Linked DNA regions of Cricetulus griseus. The protein of the gene in region 1 interacts with the protein of each later gene in a biochemical or structural test. Links are inferred from orthologs where the notes say so. Each region holds a gene or a part of one and is shown on either strand. Other genes may lie near its edges.

Region 1 (3,752 bases):
AAGCCTGCCTTGCCCTGTCCTGCCTCACCTGACTCCACTAGCCCTGTACTTCTTGGAAAGTCATTTCTCCAGGGAGCTAGTCTTATTTCTCCCCAGCCCATCCCTTCTTTCCAAAGACCTCATTGTGTCATCCTATGTCTCCCAGTTCTTCCACAGCACGGCATATCACATTTTGTTTTAAAAATGTAATTATGAAAAAGATATCTTCCTAGTGATTAGCTCCTCTTATTCTCAGGTTTATCCTCAACATCTAGAATCAGAAAGGCTCATCAGATATTTGAGTGAAAGTGTGCTTCTTGGAGGTGGGTACAGCCAGAGCACATGTGTGAGAATGTCTCAATGAAACTCCTGGGGGCCAGGAAGACAGTATTTACTGTGCAAGCTTGGAGGACAGGAGTTTGGATCCCCATAAACCCTGTAAAAGGCTGGAGATAGTGGTGTGTGTCTGCAGTCCTCATGCTGGAGAGGCAGAGATGGAGGACTGCTGGACCTGCTTGCCAGCTACTTTATCAGATCTGTGAATTTGAGATCTCTATGAGAGAATCTGTCTCATTAATAAGATGGTGAAGGATTGAGAAACACACCTGACACCACCTCTGATTTCCACACACACACACACACACACACCCACACACCCACACACCCACACACCCACACACCCACACACCCACACACCCACACACCCACACACCCACACACCCACACACACACACCACCACCACCACCATCACCACCAATAATAAAAACCCAGCACATGCACAAACGAAGCCTATTATTTTGCATGGTAATTAAAAGAAGATAGATATGGCGTCTTAAACTTTCTGGACCATGTGTTTTTAGACATAACCTCTTAGGACAAGGAACAAGGATGAATTTGGTTGGAGCTACTGAAGTTAAAGCATCTGTGTTAAGTACTCATTTGAACACGAGGGTTTGAAAAGCAAGTATGGAGACTCAGGGTTTCAACGTCCAACTAGATTTCCTTGCCTGTGGATTTATCCATTTGTTTTTCATCACAGAAATGGCCTCCACCTTCAATCCCAGAGAGTGTAAATTGTCCAAACAAGAGGGGCAGAACTATGGCTTCTTCCTGCGCATTGAGAAGGACACTGATGGCCACCTGGTCCGGGTGATTGAGAAGGGGAGTCCAGCGGAGAAGGCAGGACTCCTGGATGGGGACAGAGTTCTCAGGATCAATGGTGTCTTTGTCGACAAGGAAGAGCATGCACAGGTGAATAGACACTTGGGTTCTTCCAGCCACCTCTTCAGCCTCCACATCTCTGCCCACTCTGATTTTGGGGATCAGTGGAGCTTGGTTCTCTTCTGGCTACCACTGGCAAGGTTCTATCACATTTTATGGTGACTAGTCTAATTGCTTATGATTAACTGAGAACTGTAAAACCTATTATGTGACTCAGTGGGCAAAGGTGCTTATTACCAAGCCTGATGAGCTGAGTTCAATCCCTGGGACCTGCATGTTGGAAGGAGAGAACTGATTTCCACAAGTGTCCTTGTTCATGAGCCATGGCCTATGCCCTGTTATAAAAGCAATCAATTAAAAAATGCTATACTGTGGTAGTGTCAGGTCAAACGTTCATTGCCCATTTGCCCACGCTAGACAATTTTATCTGAGTAAGCTGTAGCCCTCAGCACAAGCCTGTGAGGCATGTGTGACCGCACAGATGAGGCAGCCATGTGTAGGTGACTTAGCTTGTTAACTGTCATGTGGTGACCGCATGGGAGAGGTAGGCCTTGCCTCACTTCAGCATTGTTCCCCTTTCACTACACCACGCCACCACCCCCTAGACCTGAGAAGCCCTGTTGTCCTCTCTCAAGCTCCTTAACGCTGCGACCCTTTAACACAGTTTCTCGTGTTGTGGTGACCCATACCATAAAATTATTTTTGTTGCTACTTCATAGCTGTAATTTTGCTACTGTATGAATTGTAAATATTTGATATGCAGGGTATCTGACACATGAGCTCTATGAAAAAACTGGGTCGTTCAATCCACCAAGGGGTCATGACCCATAGGTTGAGGACCACGGCTCTAGCGCATTCGTATCTGGGAAAGACCAATCCTTGTCAGGGCTTTCTGGATTCCCACAGTGCTGGGGCCCAGTCTGATCCTCCCTGATATATTGGGAGTGTTGGGGTGAAGGTGTCCAGTACCCCTCTGCTTAGGGTATGGGTGTTGGGTCAGCTGCCAGGCACATGACAAACATCTTCCTCCTACGGTTGATGGGGGCGGGGTGGTGTGGGGGGGAGGTTAACAGGACAAGGTATCCTTTAAACACTCCCCTTTCTTCAAAGGTGGTGGATCTGGTGAGAAAGAGTGGGAATTCAGTGACTCTGCTGGTTCTGGATGGAAAATCCTATGAGAAGGCTGTAAGAAAACAGGTAGACTTGAACAACTTGGGTCAAAGCCAGAAGGAACCGGCTTCAAATGATAAGAAACCAAGCCCTTTGATGAACGGAGCTGTGGAGACGTGCGCCCAGCCACGGCTCTGCTACCTGGTGAAGGAGGGCAACAGCTTCGGCTTCTCTCTGAAAACCATCCAAGGTGAGCTTAGGGTGGGCTGAGCTCTAGCCTTCCAGAAGCCCTGTGTTGGTAACGACAGTCTTTGCAGTTGCTATGAATGTCCACAGCAATGTCACTCTCTCTTCCTTTGTCTTCAGCACGGATCCTTTCTCTGCAGTTGTACAAAGAGAGATCCAACTTTGGACAGCAGCGAGGGCTGAGTGGGGGGACTCTTTCCCTAGTGTTTGTCAGGCTGCTGTTTGAGGCCAGTGGTTCAAGGACGGATGCCTCTTCATTGTTTTGTTTGACTTGTTTTTTCTTTCTTTTTTAATTTCTTAATTTATGTTTTACATTCCAATCCCAGTTTCCCCTCCCACCTGTCCTCCTGTTCCCTCCACTTCCCCCACACCACCTCCCATCTGCACCTCGGAGAAGGGTAAGGCCTCCCCTAGGAAGTCTACTGAGATTGTTCATCATCTCGTTGAGGGAGGATCCAGGCACCTCCCCCAACCTCTGTGTCTAGGTTGAGCAAGGTACCTCTCCATATAGAATGGGCCTCACTAAGTTATTTTGTACATTAGAGTTAGATCTTGGCCCCACTGCCAGTGGCCTCATTTATTGCCCCAGCTGCACCATTGTCACCTATGTTAAGGGAGTCTAGTTCGGTCTTATGCAGCTTCCCCATTTGTCAGACCAGAGATTGTGATCTTTCGCTAGCTCGGGTCAGCTGATTCTGTGGGTTTCCCCACCATGGTCTTGACTCCTTTGTTCATATTATCACTCTTCCCTCACTTTCATTGTACTCCAGGAGCTTGGCCCAATGGTTAGTTGTGGATTTCTGTATCTGTTTCCATCTGTATCTGTAGAAGAAGGTTCTAGCTTCTCTGGGGTTGTGGGTTGTAGGCTGGTTATCTTTATGTCTGGTATCTGTTTATGAGTATGTAAATACTATATCTGTATTTCTGGGTCTGGGTTACCTCACTCAGGGTTTTTTTTCTAGTTCTGTCCATTTGCCTGCAAATTTTAGGATGCCATTGTTTCTTATCCTGAGTAATACTCCATTGTATAAATGTACATTTTCTTTATCCATTCTTCAGTTGAGGGGCAACTAGGTTGTTTCCAAGTTCTGGCTATTATGAATAATGTTACTGTGAACAAAGTTGTGTAAATGTCCTTGTGGTGTGAGTGTGCTTCCTTTGGGTATATGCCCAAAAGTGGTATTGCAGGGTCTTG
Region 2 (3,652 bases), on another chromosome or scaffold:
AAAAATATATAGTGTGGACCTACCTGTATGGAGATCCTGGAACAGGTGTTCCTGAAGAGATGTGTGGTTGTGTTAGGGGGCAGGGGGACAGGGAGGTAGGGCTTAATAGATGCAGGGTTGCACTTTGGGGTGCAATATCTGGAGCTGGACAGACCTAAGGGCTCACAGTGTCACAGACTAAACAGTGCTGAATCGCTTGCTTTAAAATGGTTGACTTTAGCACAGTGGTGATGGCACACACCTTTAATCCCAGCACCTGGGAGGCAGAGGCAGGTAGATCACTATGAGTTCAAGAGTTCCAGGGCAGTCTCCAAAAGCTACAGAGAAACCCTGCCTCAAGAAACAAAACAAAACAAAAAGGTTTACTTATTAAGTGAATTTTATTTTCTACTGGGAAGAATAAAGGTTACGATTGGAGTGTATAGGTCTGTCTGGGTCAGTGTGTGGGTCTGAAATCCTAGCTATCATGAGGCTCAGCAGGAAGAATGAATACAAATTGAAGGCCAGCATAGCTAGTTCAAGGTCAGCCTAGGGAAACCCTGTCTCAAAAAGAAAAACTAGAAAGGGGGCCAGGTGTAGCTCAGTGGTAGAACACTTGCCTAGCATGAGTGAAGCCCTAGTTTCCAAGCTTTAATACCACAAAGGGAAAAGATGGCCTTCTTGCCCTGGATAACACATGATGGTAGACATCTCATCCTGGCTTTCCCCGAAGGGAGAGGGAAGGGGCATGAAGAGATGCTGTGGTAATGAGGGGTTGAGATGTTCAAGACCCAAGGCTTGAAAGAGGTGAAATGTTCTGTGCCTTGAGCCCTGACCTCACAAGGACACTGACACCCCTGATTCTCTGTCTTCCTAGGGAAGTGACAGTGAGTATGAAGTGGACACAAACCCTCAGAAAGCCCACTCCTTCGTCAACCACTACATCAGTGACCCCACATATTACAATTCTTGGCGGCGCCAGCAGAAAGGCATCTCTCGGGCCCAGGCCTACAGCTACACAGAGAGTGATTCTGGTGAACCTGACCACGTCACTGTCCCCAATAGCAACAGCACCCAGCAGGGCAGCCTTTTCCGGCCTAAGGCCAGCCGGACTCCAACGCCCCAAAACCCCCCAAACCCTCCAAGTCAGCAAAGCACCCTCTACCGTCCCCCCAGCAGCCTTGCCCCTGGCTCCCGGGCACCCATAGCAGGGTTCTCATCCTTTGTTTGACGTCAGAAGAGGAAAAAGAATGAAAAAAAATGACACCAAAATCCTCCTTTGCCACCTTCCCAAAACGCCTGCCAGAAAACACACAAGCAAACCCCACCAAGACATCGGATCAAATTTCACCTCCCAAGTTTATTTTTCCACAGATTCCAGGGCCAGCAAAGCCAGCGTGGAGGAGGAGCGGGGAGCCCACACGACTTGGACTTGTGTGACCTGCAACAGCTTCACATCCTTGGGGTCCATTGTGCAGTGTGGAGGGCTGGAGACCAGATAGTCTCACTCCTGCCCAGGACAGAGGGGCTCGGGACTCTGGAGAGAGGGGGCTATAAGGCAGGCAGGTGGGCTGGGAGATGGAGGCACTTCGAGACAGGCAGCCAACTTTACCTTTCCCACATGCGCTAGGTCTTGCTTTCCTTGCTCCTCTGCGAAAAGGATGGATGTCCCCAGAGGCGAAGCCTGCCTGTCATCTGTGGCTCTCCCTGGCAGGTGTCCCATGACCTTGCCAGCCTCCTGCCCTGTCTCAACACCCTCCAAGGGCTCATGGCCCTTATTCAACTTCTCCACCAAGCATTTGGCTTATTTGGGAAAAAAAAAAAAAAAGAAGAAGAAATCAAATGATGCAACTTCCTCATTCCTGAAAAAGAAAAAGAGAAAAAAAATTAATTGCGGATTCAAGGAAGAAAGCCAGAGGACTGGGAGAGAATCTTCACACAGCTGCATAACGGTTCCCTGCCTCCCGTTGCTTGAATTCACTTCCCTGAATGCAGATAAGGAGGGGTGACATCTGGGGAAATGGGACCTAAGATACTGGCTCCACACTAGGGCACGCTTCAGGGAGATGCCCTGCAGGAAGTCAGAGATGCAAGGATGAAGCCTTGACTGTTTTCTTCCCATCCAACTGCCCAACACTGAGAAAAAGGAAATGGGGTGGCAGGGGGCTCAGGATAGGAAGCTCAGCTCAACCCACCTAGCTGTGTAAGAAGGTATGCTTGTATGTACCACTTCCTCTGAGTAAACTCCTTCCTGCTAACCCATGCACCTGCCCCCATGAACCTGAAGGAAAAAGGGTCCAGGAGCCCCTCTCCAGAGGATACCTGGAGCTTCTTTGCCCAACAACGTTCTCAATTCAAGATCTGTGTGTCCCCCTGTGTGTCCCCTAACCCACAACACACAGGTCCCAAAGGGGCGGCCCAGTGCCTGGTCCTGAGGCTTTACAAAGAATCAAAGATCACTTGAATCCCTTCTAACATCTCCCAGGCTAGGTTCAGCGAAGCCAGAGCTGGGAAGGACTAGCCAGGAAGCTGTGTCCAAACTGGACACAGCAGCTGAGATGCATGGTCAGCCAGGAGAGGCAGGTCAGATGGGATCAAGGGACAAGAATAGCTGATGGGAGGGGATGCTGTTACTCCCGGGAATGTTCTGTAAAAAGCCACGGGGCCTGAACTTCACAGCAGCTTTGAGCTTCCAATGCAAGGGTTGTTTGTGGGAGGAGTTTTTCTGATGTCCTGGGTTGTCTGAGGTCCATGGGGACACCAACTAGCCCTTTAAGGCTCAGCCTACTGCTGGGAACGCATGGCTGCCTCCTTTAGAGGCTCCATTGGGGCATGTCCAAGTCAATTAAGGACCAGCCTTGCTGGGAGTATACACTGTAGTTACTGCTGGCCTTATTGAGAGGCCTAAGTGAGGAGCCTGTAGCTGTCCTCGGCAATCCCTAATTAGTCACTGCTAAATTCTCACTGGTCAGGGAAATCTGAGTCAAAGGCCTGAGTAAAGAACACATTCAGACTACTAAGTGTGCGGCCCCTCCCTACACACCTGCCCCCTGGGATATGTAAATGAGGAAATGTTGGAAGCTGGGTCAGCAGACAGGTGACCCAACGGCTGTTTGTGAACAATGGCTTTTCATAGTGACCTCTCCTAAGCAGGTCCTAAGGTTCCTTAAACCAGGAAGCACAGCCTTGTCCCCAAAGGACAACAGAGGGCTGAGACCCTGCCCCTCTGGGGAGTCAGGTTCCCAGGGCTACCTTGGACTTTGTCAGTCAGCTGGACCCCAACCCCTGCAGCATCTGGCCTCTCTCCGGAGCCACACATTCGCAGACGCTGCATGAGCTCACACTGCCATGCTTATTTTCGTCCCTCACTTCTTTTTTAAACAACATCTTTTTTCCTGTCTCCAGAGGCTTTAACCGTTTAAGGTTGTTCCCAGTTTGCATTAGGGAATTATTAGCCTAGCCCAGTTCCCAGTAAGGGAGCTTTATAGAGGAAGCAGGAATTGTTTAAAGAAAAAAAGAAAGCATTTGTGTGGATGTGTGTGGGTGTGTGTGTGTGTGTGTGTTGCACATAAGGACAATTTTTCTTTGCCTTTAATGAATTGCCCGGTGCACTGAGACTTCCCCTCCCCCTCCTGTGTGCTCGTTAGAACCCCTGCTGATGCCCAGGTGCTCA
Region 3 (3,652 bases), on another chromosome or scaffold:
CTGCCTTCCTCACTGACCCCTTCTCCCTAGCCAGATGTGCAAATCCAGAGTTTGTAAGTAGTGTCAACGGAGTTGGTGCTCCGGCTAACAAACTGACCAATAGTTTATCTGCCCAGACATAGGGCTAGACTACAGTTTCCTATTGCTTCTCCCTGTCTGCATAGAACAGGTCCTGGTGATAATTTATCTCCCAGTCTTTAATCTGATACTTGGGACAACAAACAGGGGTTGCTTTGGTTGGGTCCAGACGGTGAGAGTGAAGGGTACGTTAGCTATTTTTGCCTCTGTAAAATGAAGAGACACACACACCCCAATCTGAGGGAAATGAACGATGGATGTGCGGTTTAAAAAGAGCTGGCAGCTGAATAAGTTTAAGACTGAGCGGCATCAGAGCAAGTTTCTGTTACTGATTTCAAATGAGAATTATTGTTAATAGGGATAAAGTTATTATCGGCATGAATCACAGACACTGAAACCTGTTAACTTAATAATGTTGCCAATGTGTCATTAATCTTTAGTGAGGCGATATTAATATATTGCCTAATCCAAAAAAAAAGGCTGTGGTGTCTTGAAAGCTTGAAATCATTTCTGCTTCTGCCTCAAGTTCTGCAATCCTCCCCCTTTTAAAATTTTAAATACTTTTATTTCACACAGGCCTCTGAGTATTATTCAGAAGTAATTGCCATCAATAGAGATTCATATTCACCTTTGAGTGGCCCTAATGTCAAATGGCAACCTTGTCAGCCTTAATATCAACATATTTTAAATATATGTCTTGGACCTGAAGGTCAATAATTGCTACTAAATTTAAAATATGGAATTCTGGGATGTTTTATTCCTGGTACTTTGATTGCCTTTGTGCTGGTGATTATTTTATCTGGAGGCAAAGTCTAGTCTAAACCTGTCCTGATGGAAGTTTCAACCTGGAGAAGGATGCTCTAACATTTTCTTTCAATTTCTAGCAAAGCATCACTCTATATAAGGTTGGTACCTATATAGTTTTTATTAAGATACTTAGTAAAGTGTCAGAGAGGTGTTCTGGGTAATTAGCCTTGACATCAGCCTTGAGTTAGAGCAACCATCCTGCCATATGCTAACAAGTCCAAGGTTAATTAATCATCTTTCTATCCACTGGAGCCTTAGACATTTATTTATTTTAAAGACAAGGTCTCAGTGTACAGCCCAGTATCCAGGCTAGCCTTGAACTTACTATATATCCCAGGCTGGCATTGAACCCATAGCAATTCTCCTGCTTCAGCTTCCCCAACGCAGTGCTGTTATACACATGAGTCATTACACTAGCTGCTAAGTCTCTGATGTGTGGAAATCACAGGGGCTGTGCAGACTTTCTGTGTGTTATTCTACGGGGGTAACATGAGACATTCAGAAACCAAGTTGGTGACATGGCTCAGCTGCTCTGGCGCTTGCCACTGACTGACCTTCACAGTCTGAGTGTGATCTCAGGAACCTACATGGCAACAGGTGAGAACTGAGTCCTGCACATTGTCTTTGACCCCGCCTCCCACCACCCCCAGGTCATGACAGGCATACCCCTCCCCCATCAAGTAAATGGAGATATTTGGGACTCATCTTTAAGAAGCTGTGGTGAACAATAAACAATCAATAAATACTTGAATTTTTTTCTCCAGTAAACTGGGCATTTATTTCCTTAAAATTTAGCTTATCAACTTTTTCTTACTTGCATAGTCCACTCATGTTCCTTTAAATAACACCTTGCCCATAAAAAGATAGTTCATTCAGTGTGTGTGTGTGTGTGTGTGTGTGTGTGTGTGTGTGTGTGGAGAGAGAGAGAGAGAGAGAGAGAGAGAGAGAGAGAGAGAGAGAGAGAAGTAGATGGTCACTGGATGGAAGATGAAAGGGACAGAGAGGTGTGGGAGGGGACAAAAGTAGGCAATGTGGGGTGTGACTAAAGCCAAATCTACCAAAATGTGTTGTACTTGTATCAAAATACAAAATACAGACTGTTTCACAGAAAAGACTCAAACTGAGTGTAGAGAGATACAACTTGCTGCTTCACCGTGAAGAAAAGGAGTTAGTAATGGGTGCTTTGAGTACAGAAGGTTTTAGGGCTAGCTATGGACTGCTCAGTAGTTCAGTGCTCATTACTTTCACAGGTCTAGGTGCCTCTCTAGCAATGACCATGAAAGTGAAGAAGGCTTCTGCTGTGTCTTTTTTGATGCCTGCTACTAGTTGTACAACCAGGAGTACTCTCCCAGTCTGCACAGTTCCAGTGCACTGTTTGGACCAGGGGTTAGCAAACCTTTCTGTCAGAGACCAGGTGATAACCCTGTCCACACCCACCCAGGGGTTCTTTGGCAGCTTTTCAGTCGCACACCTTTGCAAATGAGCAGCCACAGATATAACAAACCAATGGGCATGGCAAAGTTCTGATAAAACTTTATTTGTAAACATTGGAATTTAACTTCCATATAATTTTTAAGCACCACAAACTACTCTTTTGCTTTGCTTCCAGTGATGTAAAATATTAAAGCCATCATAACTTTCACTGTATACAAAAATGGGATGGCTGTAAGGATCGCTTGCCACACAGACTTGGTGGTCTGGGTTCAATCCCCAGCACCCACATGATGGTAGAAGAAGAAAACCAACTTCTGTTGTCCTCTGGCCTCTATTTGAGCACCAAGCCATGTTTGCATGTCTTCCCACACTGTGCACTTAGGCCCATGTAACAATGAAAAATACTGTAAACACAGGTCATGGACTGAGTTCAGCTTGGAGGCAGTAGTTTGCTGGGTGTATTGTTTACTGTTCTGTTGCTGGGACAAAACACTACAATCAGAAGTTACTTTAGAAAGAGAGGGTTTATTTTAACGCAGGTCTCTGGAGGGAGCACCGGTGAACAGTGGGGAGAACCTGGGAATAGTGGCAGGAGCAGGAAGCTGGCTAACCCCAGTTTCATCTACACACAGGAAACAGAGAAAGACCAGAAAATGGAGGGAGGCTGTGAACTCTCAAAAATCCGCTCCCAGTGATTTAATTCCTCCAGCAAGTCTCTGCCTCCTCAAAAACAGTCACCCACCAGTGGCAAATGTTCTAACACATGAACCTATGGTGGACTCTTCATATTGTCAGATACTTTGTCACAGCCATGAGAAAAGTGACTAATACAGGATGATAATGCACGAGGTGGTTTTGTTGTCGTTGGTGTGTGTCGGCTGTCTTCCCTACCTGCATAAGGCACATTCTGTAAACCAGCTGGAAACTGAAGAGTGGCAAAAGGGTGGAGAAGACAAGTTCTGTGTCTTCCTCTTGGAGTTCACTGTGACATCCACCGTGTTTTTGCACGGCACGGTCTGACCAACTTGCTCCATCTTGCCCAAGGTGGCAGTATGACAGGCAGTGTCTTTTCAGGGCTTTAAGCAACACACCAGCGACCGTCAGGAGGGAGCAATCTGCACAACATTGAAGACAGTGTGTGTTAGCTCAGACGTGGCTCATCAGCCCTCTCAGACATGAATCAAGACCCGACACTCCGAGGGACAAGAGGTGGTCAAAGCGGGGTAGAAGGCTTCCACGCCTGAGGGGTGGGATTCAAAGCCTGCTGACCGGGATAGCTTTGTGATGACCAGCCCAGGGTGCCTGACAGCCAGTGTAAAAAATGAAAAAAAGT

The links.
Region 2: the proteins of Pdzk1 (region 1) and Sdk2 interact in a test that uses a peptide from one of them, tested with the Homo sapiens proteins (2 studies listed by IntAct, with this or other methods). The link is inferred for Cricetulus griseus from reciprocal best matches to the Homo sapiens genes PDZK1 and SDK2.
Region 3: the proteins of Pdzk1 (region 1) and Slc15a5 interact in a test that uses a peptide from one of them, tested with the Homo sapiens proteins (2 studies listed by IntAct, with this or other methods). The link is inferred for Cricetulus griseus from reciprocal best matches to the Homo sapiens genes PDZK1 and SLC15A5.

The regions. Positions count from the first base shown.
Region 1 is NW_023276806.1:59,644,471-59,648,222, reverse strand, and holds the start of Pdzk1 (Na(+)/H(+) exchange regulatory cofactor NHE-RF3), read left to right. Parts: upstream 1-1,021; coding exon 1,022-1,231; intron 1,232-2,311; coding exon 2,312-2,561; intron 2,562-3,752. UniProt on the Homo sapiens protein: A scaffold protein that connects plasma membrane proteins and regulatory components, regulating their surface expression in epithelial cells apical domains.
Region 2 is NC_048600.1:126,489,777-126,493,428, reverse strand, and holds part of Sdk2 (protein sidekick-2), read left to right. Parts: intron 1-856; coding exon 857-1,210; 3' UTR 1,211-3,652.
Region 3 is NC_048601.1:10,992,097-10,995,748, reverse strand, and holds part of Slc15a5 (solute carrier family 15 member 5), read right to left. Parts: intron 3,435-3,652; coding exon 3,211-3,434; intron 1-3,210. UniProt on the Homo sapiens protein: Proton oligopeptide cotransporter.